Caenorhabditis elegans: one gene and its partner. The protein of the gene in region 1 purifies or fractionates together with the protein of each later gene. This does not show direct contact. Each region holds a gene or a part of one and is shown in the gene's direction. Other genes may lie near its edges.

Region 1 (9,636 bases):
ACTTCTCGCAGTTCGCGTGTAATGCTTTCTACTTGGCAACATCAATTTATGAAACCAACGGATCTCCAAGGAATACTGTAATTTCAAGCAGCAATCGTCATGTTTCGAGATGTATTTCAGATGACGAAGCTTAATTTTACATCTCATAAAATTTAGCACTAGGTACGGATACTTGCTTCTCTTCAAACCTGTTTGTCAAACTATTACATGTTCTCTCAGCATTTCTCATTGTTTTTGTTGTATTTTTGATCTCAATTGATCTACTGAACTCCTTTCTCAAATCACTCAAATTCCGCATTTTCAACGTGTAAGCCAAACAAAAATTGTGCAAAAAAAATAATTGAAAACAAATTAATAATGTGTTATAAAAATAAATTATTTGCTGGTTTCTGATAGCTTCCGTCAACATGCAAGGTGTACATGACTATAAAGAGTTTTCAATTCATACTCATCCATCTTCAAATCGTGCAGTTGGAATATTTTTAGATGAGTAATTAATTGAGATCAATTCAGAAATAAAATAGAGTCGCCTAGCTTGATAAATTGCTTACTAATAGTAAGCACGGCAAACTTTTTATGCCAAAAACAGAATTCTAGGAAATTGTTCGAAAGTTTGCTGATGTAAATTGAAACTTTTGTAATACACTGGTACTGATTATTTTCGAGAACTAAAATTCAAAAAAAAAAGTTTATTGAGAACATAATCTGAAAGAAAAAATACATTGCAAACTATGACGGCTTTTAGGTTCCTTTTTGTGAAACAACGCTATGATCTACAGCATTCTTCGAATATTGCTTATTTGATAAAGAAACTGAAATTTTTGAAATTTTACAAACAAAGATTCACAGAAAAAATACATGGTTTGCAATGAAACATGAAACATTTTTTACATTTTTTCACAAATATAGTGTGATACCAAAGCAACGACAAGTTTTAGTTATAGGTGAAGTACGTCCAGTGGAAAAATATTTTAAAAAACCATTCCTATGGTATTCAAATAGCCAAACATGCATAATAAAACTTTTCCAAATTTTTGGCAACATTTTTTATTTCAAGTTAGATAGCGGTGAAATGTTTATATATCTGTGGAAATCGCTAATAAAAAAAACGTATTTTTCTTCCAGTTTGAATTATGTTCCAAACTCTTATATTTTAGCAATGTTGGGGTTCAAACATGCGCCAGTGCTTTAGATATTTCGAGAAGTGGCGCAAACTCCGTTTTCGCCATTTTTTGACTTAAAATAAAAATTCTCCAATTTTTGTTCTGAAAAGTTGTACCATGATACTTCCGCACTCCGCCTTTAATTAAACGGAAAAATTCAATGTTTTATAACTTTACAAAATTTATCCTCAAAATCACAATGAATGAAACATTTTCCGAGTTTCATTTTGAATTATTTATTTTATTGTAACAAAACGTGCATTTTAATAACCCTCTTTGCTCCGAAGATGATGGAAAATGTGTTCCCGTCGTTTGAAATAATAAAGTCATTGAACGAAAAACGTTTACCTCTGCTTATTCCCTTCAAAAAATTTTCTTCGGAAATTTCCTCCAAATTTCCTGTTTTCCACTACTGCTGTGTTATCGTAAAGTTAATATCGAGTTAACATTAGTTGGTACTTACAAAAGCAATAAATGGTTCGGTTCATTGTGAATGTGGCTTCTTTGTCGTTTTCTTGTGGAAAATTGCTTTCCTTCTTTTAGGAGTCTCCGACTGCACAATGACTTTACAGGAAATTATTTTTCGGCCCGGTTTTTTTTGTCTTGCAAAGCTTCTAAAAACCTGGAGCTAAAAGTGTTTCGTTGGATTTAGTTAGAACGAGTCAAAATGAGTATGTGTAAAAGAGATGAACAGACTACGTTGCGGAATTTTTTTTTTGAAGACGCGTACGAGCCTGACTTCCGTCCCCTCTTGAATTTCGTTGGTGCTTTGTGGTTTGTAGTAAGTGCATCAGAGACACGCCAATAAAAGCGAAGAGTGCTCTAAAATGACATGGAGTACCTTTACCTCCGTGCTGGATTGAATTACACTTGAGAATTGGAAGAGAGCACAACTACATCTGGTTCCTAATCACAAGCGTGCTTTTTCAAATGCACTTTATTTGCAGGTGCCCTCCCCGTGAGTTATGAAATTCAACAGCAGCGCGAGTTGCAATCTTTCAGAGAGCACATTTTCTTGAGATCTCCCTCGGGAAGACTAGGCAACGCCCGTCTCAAATGAAGCTTTAGATGAGATGACGTATAGTGTGTTGCCAAGTGAGTTTTCACTTTTTAAAATAAAATTGAAGCATGGAAAAAAATAAATGGACCAGATAAAATTTGATTCGGTTTTGTCCAAAAAACTGCAGAAACATTTCTGAAATTCTAGGCGTGAGAGAGAGAGAGTACACAGTAATGAATAATTCAACATTCTCAGTATATGGGGTGAAATTTGAGTAAATATTTGAAACACTACTTTGGGATCTTGACTTCTACAAATTTTGAATGGAATACCTCGAGAATTTATTTGTGATACTGAATGAATGTAGGTACTTTCAAGGTAAACCTGCACCAAATATGTTTATCATTTTTAAAATTCAACGTAATTTTTTAGTTTTAGTATTAGTGTTTTCTTAACCTGAGAATGCAAATCAATTTCCCATTTTGATTAAATTATCAGGTGAGTGGAAATTGAAAAAAATTTCTGAGACAGGTACCAAAAAAACTGAATCCCTGTATTTGGAAGATAGATCACTCCTTTTCTGAAAGATCTTGTGTTTTCGCGTCAGAAATATTTACAATCATTAACTCGTCTTTCCATTAATATTCATGAGTACTCAACTTTATTACTACCCAATACATCACTTCCAAAAACTTGGTCTCTAGCTATAAAAAGTGCGAAGTATGAAGAAAATGAAAAAAGGAAAGGAAAGACGCACTTCTCTAAGAAAAAAACTCAATTAAGCAACCTGGACTTGTCACTGAGAACAAGGACAAGAGCAAGAACAAGTATCGAAATAGAATGTTTGTACGTACGTTAATCGTGAATTCTCTTAGTGTGTGGCGTACCCCTTGGGAGAAATGTTTTCAAGTCCAGTGTTCACTACTATAAGCTTCCCCCCGTTTTCCTATTGCCCAATGTCTCCTAGCCTCCTCAGTCGGCGCCAAAGTGGGCGGAGCGCATTGGCGGCGCTGCCTGCGCGCGCTTCGGACACGACCGTCGTCGGGCGAAGCACACAGAGAGCAACTCCTCGGGTTTTGGTGAATCAGTCGGTCGCCGCCGCCGTCGTCGTTTTTGGCAGAGCATATTATTGGTGTGGAGCACACAATGTCCTAACTCTCATGGCAATATGATGCGCAAGCTACTCGTCATCTGCCTTCTGACGGTCTATGCCCAAGGGGGTCAGATTCCTGTGCCTCCCATATTTTCACCATGCAACTTCCCATCTCCGATCACCGAACCTAGTTTTGTGAGTTCAACTTTTTCATGTTTTATTTTTTTATTTGCTGAACTTTAAAATCTCCCCTCAACTTTTAAGAACCAAAAAAGCTTTAGCTTCAAATTTCCAATTTCTTTTCTAGAAAAACTGAGGTAGGAAGAATGAGAAAAAAGGAAAAATAATTAGCATTGTTCGTTCTGAAAATGCAAAAATAAGATAAATTATACATTCCCTCTGTTTTGCCCTAGGAGGGGTAGCCTTCGTTCCATGTGCCCCACAAATCACTCAAGCGTTCGTAAACCTTGCAATTAGAAACCCAATTATTTTTTGCTGCTCAGTATTGCTTTATTGTTTATATATATATATATATATTTTTTCTGCGCCGTATCCTACTTTTTTCCACTATACTTCTCCTCCTTTCTCCTTTTTCTATATACTTTGCGAAAAGTTGAACGGCCCTCCAAAACTCGTCGAGGAAGAAGGATGAGAAAGGAAAGCCGCGTGGAAAAGACGAAGACGTCGTGCTTTTTTTTTCTATTTGCATATTGAGCATTTGCTCATCCTTATGAAACCAATCAAGTGAAAGACAATCGTTGTTTTTTTTGTGTCCGTAGTCTTAGATTTACTCTGGCGATATCCGGAAGAATGACGAATTTCGAGTTTTTTTTTCAGAGATTTAATTGTGCACTAGAGGGAGGAAACCCCATAGTTTCGAACTTTTGACTTGTGATTCAAAATTTGACACTCAAATTTTAAAGTCAAGACCTACCCGGTGAACTGCGTGAACGACATTAGTCATTCTTGTGGTCTCCTTTGGAAACCACAAGGTGAACAACATCGTCTCGCCGCCCCGTAAACGCAATTTGTGAAAGCCGAAAAACTCAAACTCCTTTTCTCTTTTGTATTGAAAACCACAAATAGAAGAAAAGGAAATTCCTCGGCGACAACAAAAAAGAAATTGTGTCCCCCCTCCCTGCCTTTCTTCTGCTTATGCTTCCTTCCAGGTTGCTCAAGGACCCTCGTTTATTGTGTCGCAAAAAGTTCACAATTTTTTTTTGAAGGACTGAGGAGCCGAAAAACTTTGTGAAAAGAAGAGTTTGATCTGAAATCAACAATTGTCAAAATTGTCAAAAACATTTTGCAAACTCCCTAAACTTCTTGAGATTTATAGAAAAAACCTGAAATGTATTTTTAGCATAGGAGTAATTTTGATTCTCCTCCAAATTGTCAGCTCATCTCTGTAGACCAAAAAAAAAAGTTATGCAGACAAAAAGGCACGCGACTCAAAAAAAATGATATATACATACACATGTATTTATTTGACGTCTTCCATCATATTTTATTGTGAAAAGGAAAGAAACGACCACCACATCCATTTTAGTTGATGCGAGCCATGTGAAACACTTGTCAAGCATATATTCATGAAAAAAGTCACTACGTACTCAAAACCCGACAGAATATGTTATGCATATGTGAGGAAGGTCACGGGGGTGAAATTGTAAATTTCTACTACATATTAAGAACGTTACAAAGCAAATAAATTTGCAGTAGTAAGTTACAACAGTGACCTTTGGAAAAATTATTCAATTTTCCGTATTTTCCCTATTAAAATCGCAACGGGGCTCTTTTTTATCGGCCTATGCCGCGGTTAATTTTCACGGTATTAAAATGAGTACCGTCACTAATTTTAAGGTCCTTTTTGAATGCAGCACTATTAGAGACTGCAGTACTGATTTTCAAAAACCTCTTTTCAGTTGTAGATCACTAGCTCTCAGTCACAAAAACTCATATTTTAGGCCTGAATTTAATATTTAATTTTTTAAATTCATTTTGTGAATTAACAAAGAATCATTAAAACATGTTCAGAAAAAGTTTCCAAAATGTCGAAACTAATGAGGTTTCACAAAAAAAAATTGCAATAAAAAAAGGGTTGCCGCATGAATTGAAAATATACGGTATCTACAAGACTATAGGAAAATAAATTGGAATTTATTTTCTCAGATGACAAAGGACAAATCTATATTTGATTCAACAGTTCGCGAATTTTTAATTTTGATTTCAAAAATTAAATATATATTCTGTTTCTGCAACTCATTCAAATCTACCTAATTTCAGCACCGATCGGTTTGCTACACAATTCCTCGACTTCCGTTTGTGTGCGATCTTCATCACCAACTGGCTTACACAAATGTTTATGGAATTGAAAAAGCTTATAATAAGTATAAACAATTCTTTTTTTTCAATCTTAACACCCAATTTTCAGGTATCGATCACTCTTCACAAACGGCAATACTTCAACACTTGCCGTCATAATCAGTTGAGAAATACACCTGCCTCTCTCTTGTCCAACGAAATTATATTTTTTCCAGCAAAACAACTGGAGCAGCCTGCTTCTGCAAATGATGTCATGAAAAAAACCGAGTACGCTTGTCTCTTTGATAACGAATGCGACCAGATTGACGGGGACATGGTGACTGGAATTGTCGGAAATGTGCGGAAGTTCCTACGGGTAGGTCGGTGTGGTCGGAGGTTTCAAAAAGTATACGTTTTTAGCGGGAGGGGGGAGGGGGTTAGTCCAAAGTTGAGCTTGCAAAGTGGGGACAGGAAGGGGAACTGAATCATTATGAGCCAATTTTCTATCACGTTTTCCACATTGCACGCAAGTATCGCTCTTTTTTTGGGTGAAGTGGTTGCAGTGCGCAAAGTGGGCACATCTTCAACACGTGCTAGAAATGATGAATCTTGAGTTGAGGGACTCTCAGAATGTAGCAAAACGTTTTCTGAGAAAAATACTTCCTGCGTGAGATACAAAAACGAAATTGAATGCAGTGCTAAACGGTTTCCAATAAAATCTATTTTTGAAGAATGGAGTTCACAAAATAAAAATATTCAGATATCTCAGTAAATCCCCATGTATAGACTTAATGTATAGATTCAAAATGTGCTCAAATGAACTAACTTCGTTATAAAACTTTTTTTTTTAATTTATAATTTTTTCTGACGGTTAAAGATTTAAAAAAAAAATCAGCTAATTTTAGATGCAATCTTAAATTTTGCAAACTTTTTTGTGGCACCTAGATGTGATAAAGATTGCACATTGAATTTCATAAGATTTTATTTTTATTAACTGTATAATTCGGTCTTTATATATTAATTTAGGTAAATTTTAAGGATTATAATAAAATAAACATTAATTTCCGACAGCTGTGACATGGGAAATTTTGCAAAATTTAGGGTTTCAGCTAGCATTAGCACAATTGTTTGAAAACATTTTTAACCGTTTTGAAAAGTTTTTGGGAAGCTTTTGATAAGTCTCATATTGATATTTGATTTGTTTAGAAAAACTTGTTATTTAAAATATAGCAACACTTTTAAAATATAGCAACACTTTTAAAATATAGCAACAATTTAGTTCTCCTTCAACGGCAAATTTACAGATCAATTTTATGAGGAAAAATATTTTGGTGAAATAGCATTGCAGTTATTCTAATCGAAAAAATACGGTATGGCAAATTATTGCGGACTGGTTTTAAAAAAAGCTTCAATGATAATAAGATGCAGAAGCTGTGATATTCGTGTGTACTTGGCTGAAATCAAAAATTGTATATTTCAGGTTTATTCGTGGAAAGTATATGAGCGATGGTTTGGTGTCGGAGAATCTTGCACCAAGACAAATTTGCTAGCGGTAAGTGATGCCATTCTATCCATTCACTCCTTCCAAATATGTTTTCCAGCTTGTTGTAATCGATGGAGTTGTGAATGACGCCAGAAAAATTCCATACGTGAGATTGCACACAGGTACATTTCAAACTCGAGCAAAACTCAAAACTTATGACTTCGATCAACTCAATTATTCCAGGCTCACATCGTCTTCGAATGTTACTTCCAAACATACAAAGTGAAGTCAACAATGCGTTGGTGCAAGGTACGCGCATAACTGAATGCTAACCAGAAACGGTGTATTGTTTAAGGCTGGCCACTAGCAAAGGTTATCGAGGATCTGGTGGATGATGTGGGATATGCACTGAAAGATTATTACGAGCTGAACGGTGAACAGAGAGATCATTCCGTTCCAATGTAAGTTATTGGAGCTGATTCTTGGTTGTGAAGGGGATATGGTTTGGGAAAACAGCCTTGGAATAGTGTAGGTATGGTATCGGTGTGGTATCGGTGTGGTATCGGTGTGGTATAGGTATGGCAAAGGTATGTTATAGGTATGGCAAAGGTATGTTATAGGTATGGCAAAGGTATGTTATAGGTATGGTATAGGTATGGTATAGGTATGGTATAGGTATGGTATAGGTATGGTATAGGTATGGTATAGGTATGGTATAGGTATGGTATAGGTATGGTATAGGTATGGTATAGGTATGGTATAGGTATGGTATAGGTATGGTATAGGTATGGAAAATATATTTTCAATCATTTCAGGTGGGCACGAAACCTATTTCTGGTCTGCTTGGCACTTGTCATCACTGCTCTTCTTGTCGAGTGGTACGTGGTGAGAAGGAAAATCGGAGTGCAAAAAAGTGGATCCATTAAGATTGCGTCAGGAAAGAGCAAAACACATCTCATGTTCTAATGTTCGTAGTGTCATATCTGAAACTTTTGTACATTTATTTTTATGTAATTGTTTTCAATCTCTCTCATTCGGGTTTACGGTGATTTTTTTTTTCAAATTTTCACTGCTAGAGTCAACGATCAATAATAGTTGACTGTTTAACTTGTATTTCTTATTTTTTTAAGGTTTATTTTTTCAACAAAATAAAGTGAAGAATATTTTCCAAATTTGAAAAGTTTGAATAATAAAAATAAAATCGTCTTTGTTTATATAAACAAAACTTAATATATTCGGTGCCTATTTTGAGCTGACTAATCTTCTATATAAAGGGGCCTAGCTCCATTGGGGAATTTTTCTGGGGATTTTCTCAAAATTCACTTATATGATTCCAAAGCGGCCGAATATCATAATAAACCACTCACATTTTTAGTCAACGTTTTGGCAAGTTACCATCATTTTTGAATGTCGTATGGAATGTTTTAACAGAAAAAAAACCAAATTAAAATTAAAATATGAAAATCGTAGAAAGTTTTTTTTGTTGATTTCCAAAATCATAAGGGACAAAAACTGGGTAATTGCTACACTTCGTTAATAAATAAAACATTTCTAATTTTTTTGAAAAGTTGTTCTATGATATGATATTTGGTTATTTTAGCACCATAGGAGTAGTATTAAACCTTTAAACATTTATTCACCACTTATCAAAAACAAACAATGTTGTTTTTATTTTTCACCTAGTCTCTATAATTCCTACTTTTACGCAAAGAATCAAAACATCTCTAGACTCTTATCTTTCCCACTTTTCCTCTTCATGCTCGAAGAAAAGACACTACATAAAATTGATAATGATAAAATATTGAATCAATGTTTATTGTTCATCAATTCCACTGTTTTTTCTCATTTATTAGCATAAAATGTTACTACTTTCCCGGCTGCAACTACGGTAAGCGGTATCCAGCCGATGTTTTCAATACTGCATTTGAATACACGTGCACGGATAACGCTCATTGTTTTTCGCATGCCAATTTCACAAATGGAAAGTGAGTTTTCGAAATGCAATAATATTTTAAATATTTCGTTTGAAAAGATTTTTATGTTAAGATAGCATGCAAAAGCTTATGGTAAAACCACACATATCTAGTGGATTTCTTTAACATTGAGAGATGTATTGAGGATATTTTCTCTCACGTGAATATTTTATATTCCCTCATAATTCTGAACAAAAGCCACGAACTCAACGTCTACTGCCGCTATATATTTGAAAAACGTGCTTTTCAGTTTAGTTTTCAAGTTTTTCATAGTTTTTTAAAGATAAAGTACGGTCAGTGGGGAAATAATCGATGTTAAAATAATTATGTATCATAACAAAACACTTCAAAAAAGTTTTTCAATTTGTTTCAAAAAGTGTTAACTACTGCTTGTCATTGTTTTGGAAGTCATCTCTCAAAATTTTTTTTTTGATTTTTATGGTCTATTTATGTTTCTAAAAATAAATATTCAGAACAGGGTAAGCGGCAAACTGGGCAAATGGGCAAATTGCCGGTTTGCCGATTTGCCGGAAGATGTTTGCTTACTTCTCAAAATAGATGAAGGAACATTCACAGGATGCGTACAATTTTGCCGCTTAAAATTGAAATTCCGAAATTTCTAAAAA
Region 2 (6,159 bases), on another chromosome or scaffold:
GAAATGGCGACTGAAAAAGTATCCAAACAATCATCATGCAACCATCCATTTCCAGTTGAAAGATACTGTAAGTTTTAGAACAAACGAGGATAAACCTTCTATTATAATAAATTCTAGGGATCTGGAACGGATATCAAAATCATCGCTAAAGATGTTCCAACTCATCTCGCTGAAGAAACTCAACAAGGACTCGATCGTTACTACCTTTCAAGCATTGGTCGTACTTTCGGATTCAGCCAGCGAATGTGAAAAAATGAAAAATTGCAAATCTCCTGTTTTTGATGTTCTCCGATCTTCTAAACCGCTTTCTCAATTTATTTATTTTATATCAATCTGTGTTTGTGTTCTAAATTTAGTGATAATATTTTCATAAATTCAACAGATTCTGTTCAAAAACAAACAAAATTATTTAGGAATCTGCTGCTCGAGCATTTCAGGCGGCCAGTTTCCGAAATCCGTCAAAATTTTCGTGATGAGATGCGCCGGCGTGACATCAAATGCTGGATTCCAAACCGGACATTCAGAATTTCCGATTAAAACTCCATTTACTCGAAGCATCTCTGCAGATGGTCGTTCTTCAATTTTAATCTCCTCCCCGGTTGCAATATTCTTATTGATCGTCGTGAATGGAACAACCGGATAGAAGTTGATGTTGTGATGTTTGCAGAGGACAGCAAGCATATAGGTTCCGATTTTGTTAGCCGTATCGCCGTTTCTTGCAACATTATCGGCTCCGGTGAGCACACAATCCACCTGGTGATTCTTCATTGCCCATGCTGCCATTGAATCAGTGATCAGCTAGAAAATCTGGATTTTTAAAAGATAATCAGTATTTAGCATTACCTTGAACGGCACCTCACCATGAAGAAGCTCTATGGAAGTCAACCTAATTCCTTGATTATAGGGTCTCGTCTCCAAAACGTAAACCAATTTCAGACGGTTTTCAGAATGAAGAGCCCGAATGACTCCGAGAGCAGTACCCCAGGATATTGTAGCCAAGCTTCCTGTGTTGCAGATCGTCATTACCGTAAGCTTCTCCTTGTCAGGGAATGCCGAGAGAAGCTCTTGATAAGCGTTCCAGACGAGAATTCTATTTTGAAGCTTTTCATCCGTATACACGTTGAGAAGATAACTGCGGCATCTGTTGGAGAATTAATTGCGATTATTTGGAATTATTTTTGAAATTTAAAACTCACTTCTCAAGCTTAACCACATCCGAATAGTCTTGAGACTCTAAAATTGGTTTCAAGCCGTTCAAAGAATTTCTCAAATCAACTGCAGTTGGTCTTGAGCTTATCAAAAAATTAATTTTCTGAATAATACTTTCAGAATCAAGCTCAGAAGCCTTTTGGATTTCCAGGAGCAGTCCGAGACTTCCGACAACTGCAATAAGTGGAGCTCCGCGTACTTGCATTGATTTTATAACTGCAAAAGCGTCAGAGACACCTTCAACCGGGATGTACTTGAATTCATGTGGAAGTAGGAGTTGATCTGGATTTTATTTTACTAGAACTATGCTTTATAAGATGATATTTCTGAACTTACCAAGGACTTCCAAATTGGTTCCATCAAACTTCAGAGAATCCAATCTTTTCGACTCGTCGAATAAAAATGAATCAGGAATAGGCCCGTTTACAATTTTATTGATTTTTGAGGTCATTGTCGTAAAATAGCAGCAGATACCTAGAGCTAAATGAATTGCAGAGCGCAAATTGTCTGTGCAGCGTTTTCCAGATGATAAGATAAGCGAAAGTGTAGACTGGAAGTGAGCAAAACGTGAGCACAAGTCGAAAAGTTGTGGAAGAGGATGTATTTATTTATGGAAATATTGTCAATGTTTCATTGCTATATTCTCAAGTCAATTTATTGATGAGATTTATTTAAATCTTCTTCGTGGTTACGGTTTTAACGCCGAATGGCCTAACTTCTGCGCATGCGGCCTAGAATCCGACAACCGTGTACTCCTCCTAGACAATTGCAGAGAATATTTTTTATTAAGGTTTTTTATTCAATTTCTCCATCTAAAATGAATATTCCGAAAATTCTGAACAACAATTTAGTTTTAAAGCGAATTTTTTGTCGAAATTACTCCGTTAAAGTGCTAGGAATTGAAACAAGGTAAGGAATATATAAGCAATAGAGTTCAAAAAATTAAAATCATTAAATTTTCAGTTGTGACGATACTGCAGTAGCAATTGTCAACGAGAAACGAGAGATTTTATCTTCAGAGCGGTACACAGAACGGGCGATTCAGAGACAACAAGGCGGGATTAATCCTTCAGTCTGCGCACTTCAAGTAGGATTCTTCTTCAGAATTTACTTGAAATGAAATATTTCCAGCACCGTGAGAACCTTCCAAGGCTTATAGAAAAGTGTCTGAACGACGCTGGAACATCACCGAAAGATCTGGATGCAGTAGCGGTTACAGTAACGCCTGGATTAGTTATTGCACTTAAAGAGGGAATTTCAGCGGCGATTGGATTTGCAAAGTATGATACTATGAATATTTAAAATTTTCGAATATTGATTTTTCCTGTTCAGAAAACATCGTCTTCCACTGATTCCAGTTCATCATATGAGAGCCCATGCTCTGTCAATTCTTCTCGTCGATGATTCAGTGCGATTTCCATTTTCAGCAGTTCTTCTTTCGGGTGGTCATGCATTGATTTCTGTTGCAGAAGATGTCGAGAAATTCAAATTGTACGGTATGAGGATTGAAATATTTGAAAAAAAAACTTATTACTCATTGTCGCTACATGGCACGAAATTTTATTTTTAAACTTCTCTCAAAACATAAAATACTATAAATTTTTCAAAATTTTCAGGCCAAAGTGTCAGTGGAAGCCCGGGCGAGTGCATTGACAAAGTTGCGCGGCAGCTTGGAGATCTTGGATCAGAATTCGATGGGATTCATGTGGGCGCTGCGGTGGAAATTCTAGCCTCTAGAGCCTCTGCTGATGGCCATTTGAGATATCCCATATTTCTTCCAAACGTTCCAAAAGCTAATATGAACTTCGATCAAATCAAAGGATCCTATCTGAATTTGCTGGAAAGATTGAGAAAAAACTCTGAAACATCAATTGATATTCCAGATTTTTGTGCTAGCCTTCAGGTGTGTGAAGAACCAAGAAGAGACTTCGAAATTGTTTTTGACGCTTTTTCCAAAAAAAAAAAAACTTATTCTAAAATGCAGTTTTCTATCAGAAAAAAATCTTTAAATTATACAGAAACCACCAAAAAAATCAAAAAATTAAAGCCTATAAAAAATTGAAAAAAAAACTTTTTTTCGATTTTTTAAAATCATTGTTCAAGCCTTTTGAATACTTTTCAATGTTTTTTGAGTTATTTTCTATAATTTCTGTCTCTGTAATTTTTTCACTAAAACTATCAGAGAATCTCAAAAAATTAGTGTTTCAAAAAATAAATCCGAAAAAAATAATTTATCTAAAAAAACGGAAAATCGATGTTTCCAAAAAATCGTTTTTGCAATAAAACGAACCAAAAATCTCATATTTTCAAAAAACCAAAAAAAAAAGATTTTTCTTAAAAATAAATCAAAAAATCCTTTTTTTTTAATTAAAAAAATCCAAATTCTGGTTAAAAAAAAAACGGTTAAATTATTTGTTTCAAAAATAACTCTTACTTTTCCTAAATCGACATTATTAGAGCATTTATTAGGAGTTTCGACAGTTTCGACGAACGTTTTTTTTTCTATAAAAAATTATTTCAGAACACCGTAGCCCGACATATCTCGAGCAAACTTCACATCTTCTTCGAAAGTCTCTCCGAGCAGGAAAAACTTCCAAAACAGCTGGTGATCGGCGGCGGAGTGGCGGCGAATCAGTACATTTTTGGAGGTTTTTTTTTAATAGAAGTATCAGAAAAAGCTAAAACTTTAATATTTCAGCAATCTCAAAACTATCAGCTGCTCACAATGTCACAACCATCAAAGTCCTCTTGTCCCTTTGCACAGACAATGCCGAAATGATCGCCTACAGTGGCCTTCTGATGCTCGTCAATCGGTCCTTTAGCCCCCACCAACTCTATAATTAACTATTCGAATTCTTGCAGATCGGAGGCAATTTGGTGGCGACCGAATGACATTCCTGACACAATTTATGCACACGCTAGAAGCGATATTGGGACGGATGCTTCTTCGGAAATCATTGATACACCGCGTCGGAAACTGGTGACATCCACGATCCATGGCACCGAGCGGATACGATTCCGGAATCTGGATGATTTTAAGAAGCCTAAAAGCCCTAAAACAACTGAATGAAGAAAATTTTCTAATAAAAAATGCACATAATTTTATATGACTGTGTTTGTAGAAAAAAACGAAATAAGAACAAGAAAAGAAGCACAAGCAAAAACATTAATGATCATCAGTAGAGAGAGAGAGAGATTCCGGGATTGTAGAGAATTTGAGTATGGACTTTTTGTTGGCAGGTGCAATTGGGAGGGGGGCACAACTAGAATTTGTGTCATTCATTGGGTTTTCAGAGAGTCAAGAAGCTTTTTGAATTAACATGGAAAGGAAAGAGAAGGGGGTTTTTTGGAAAGCAGCTGTGGAGAGAGAGAATACGATTTTTTTTGGACTATTTTTTTTTAAAGCTGTATCACACAATTTTCAAAAACAGAACGGAAAACTTTTAAATTGTAGAATAGAAAGAAGAAGAAGAACAAGTAGATGGGGGAAAATGACTAGTATGGAATGGCGAAGGGTGGCAATGGCTAACACGATATATTTTTTGGACAGACATGTGTTAAAATGTAGTCTGTCAGCAGGGTGGGTACTGTCGTATTGTCATCGTGGATTGCGCGGAGAACTGAAAAAAACCATTTATTTTCAATTTTCAATGACTTTTTGTTCAATTTTTGAGAAATTTTGGCAAAAAGTTAGCAGATTTTGTTTAAATTTGTTTATAACTTTTTTCCGGTTTTTCAAAGGGATATTGAGAGAGAATTTATTTTAAAATTTTCCGGTTTCTCAATTTCCATTTTGCAATATTACCCAGACGCGAAATTAGCACAATTATACGGTACCAGGTCTCGGCACGACAATTTTTGTTAAATACAAACAGGCGTGCGCCTTTAAAGATTACTGTAGCTTCAGGTTTTTTCGATTTTTCATCTTTTTTTTTTACTCCATAACTATATAAATAAAACAATTTAGCAAAATCTTGAGAACAACTTTAAACAATCGCGATTAAAATGTTTGAAACTACAGTAATCCTCACCTTTTCGCATTTAACAACAATTTTCGTCTCGAGACAGTATTTTTTGTACAATATTTTTGACGCAAATTCGCGAAATTAAAAATTTTTTCGATTAATTTCAGGTACAAAAAATCGAGAAAAAAAATTCGAAAATTAAGAATAAAATTCAATTTTTAAAATCAATTTTTTTTTATGGTGATGAGGAAAAACATATAATTTTCTTTTAAAAATATGAAAAATTAGCTAAATTGGGGGCTATTTTTGTTTTTCGAAAAATCGGAGAAACGAAAAACCGAAAAAAAAGTCTTGATTTTCATGGAAAATCCTTTAAAAATCCCCACCGACCCTATTCCACTTCTAACAAGGGGACATAATCCCGAGAAAAACATATTAAAATTCTGTATCTCTTATGCAAATATCTCTTCTTTTTCTCACTAATCAATCAACACACAGCTGATATTCTTTGTCAATTAGATATTTATTTATATCTCTTTTCATCTTCTCACTTTTGATTAGAGACGCAATCGACGCATTATCGATATGTTGATGATCGTTGTACGGAATTGTCGCTGTCAAATATTGTGGCAATTGTGAAGCATCCGACGCCTTTCCGACCTTCCGTTTCCGATCATTAGCGTAAACTCGTCGCTTGTTTTGAATCGCCAGTAATAGTGAAATAAACGAGTTTTTCATCTCTTTTTCGTAGTCCAGCTCATCTCTGAAACAAAAAAACCGAATTCCAGTTTTAGTTCCAAAATTTCCCGAAAACCAACCGATGTGCCAGCTCATCGACCAAACTCTCATTATAAACCCGAATCAGCTGCTCCATTTCCGCGCATAGTGTCACCAATTTCGAATAGGAGAGCTCTTGAAGATCTGAAATGAAAAGAGTGTTGAATTGCAGTGCTGAATATATTTTGGGTAACAGGGAGCGATTGAA

The links. The genes of interacting proteins can lie anywhere in the genome.
Region 2: the proteins of AH9.6 (region 1) and C01G10.10 fractionate together in Caenorhabditis elegans (co-fractionation; one large-scale study listed by BioGRID). This does not show direct contact.

What each region holds. Positions count from the first base shown.
Region 1 is NC_003284.9:2,261,741-2,271,376, reverse strand, and holds AH9.6 (uncharacterized protein), read left to right. Parts: upstream 1-3,238; 5' UTR 3,239-3,331; coding exon 3,332-3,451; intron 3,452-5,536; coding exon 5,537-5,640; intron 5,641-5,684; coding exon 5,685-5,737; intron 5,738-5,790; coding exon 5,791-5,930; intron 5,931-7,034; coding exon 7,035-7,106; intron 7,107-7,155; coding exon 7,156-7,219; intron 7,220-7,280; coding exon 7,281-7,346; intron 7,347-7,392; coding exon 7,393-7,498; intron 7,499-7,852; coding exon 7,853-8,003; 3' UTR 8,004-8,211; downstream 8,212-9,636. Other genes in the region: putative G-protein coupled receptor AH9.4, read left to right, coding at 1-134.
Region 2 is NC_003283.11:15,078,288-15,084,446, reverse strand, and holds C01G10.10 (putative tRNA N6-adenosine threonylcarbamoyltransferase, mitochondrial), read left to right. Parts: upstream 1-2,005; 5' UTR 2,006-2,026; coding exon 2,027-2,118; intron 2,119-2,172; coding exon 2,173-2,296; intron 2,297-2,340; coding exon 2,341-2,489; intron 2,490-2,541; coding exon 2,542-2,705; intron 2,706-2,825; coding exon 2,826-3,112; intron 3,113-3,730; coding exon 3,731-3,857; intron 3,858-3,907; coding exon 3,908-4,022; intron 4,023-4,071; coding exon 4,072-4,279; 3' UTR 4,280-4,313; downstream 4,314-6,159. Other genes in the region: ahsa-1 (Activator of Hsp90 ATPase AHSA1-like N-terminal domain-containing protein), read left to right, coding at 1-67, 118-249; C01G10.9 (Methylthioribose-1-phosphate isomerase), read right to left, coding at 406-798, 844-1,141, 1,197-1,491, 1,546-1,660; UNC-76, read right to left, coding at 4,735-4,829, 5,726-5,937, 5,993-6,095. UniProt on the Caenorhabditis elegans protein: Required for the formation of a threonylcarbamoyl group on adenosine at position 37 (t(6)A37) in mitochondrial tRNAs that read codons beginning with adenine.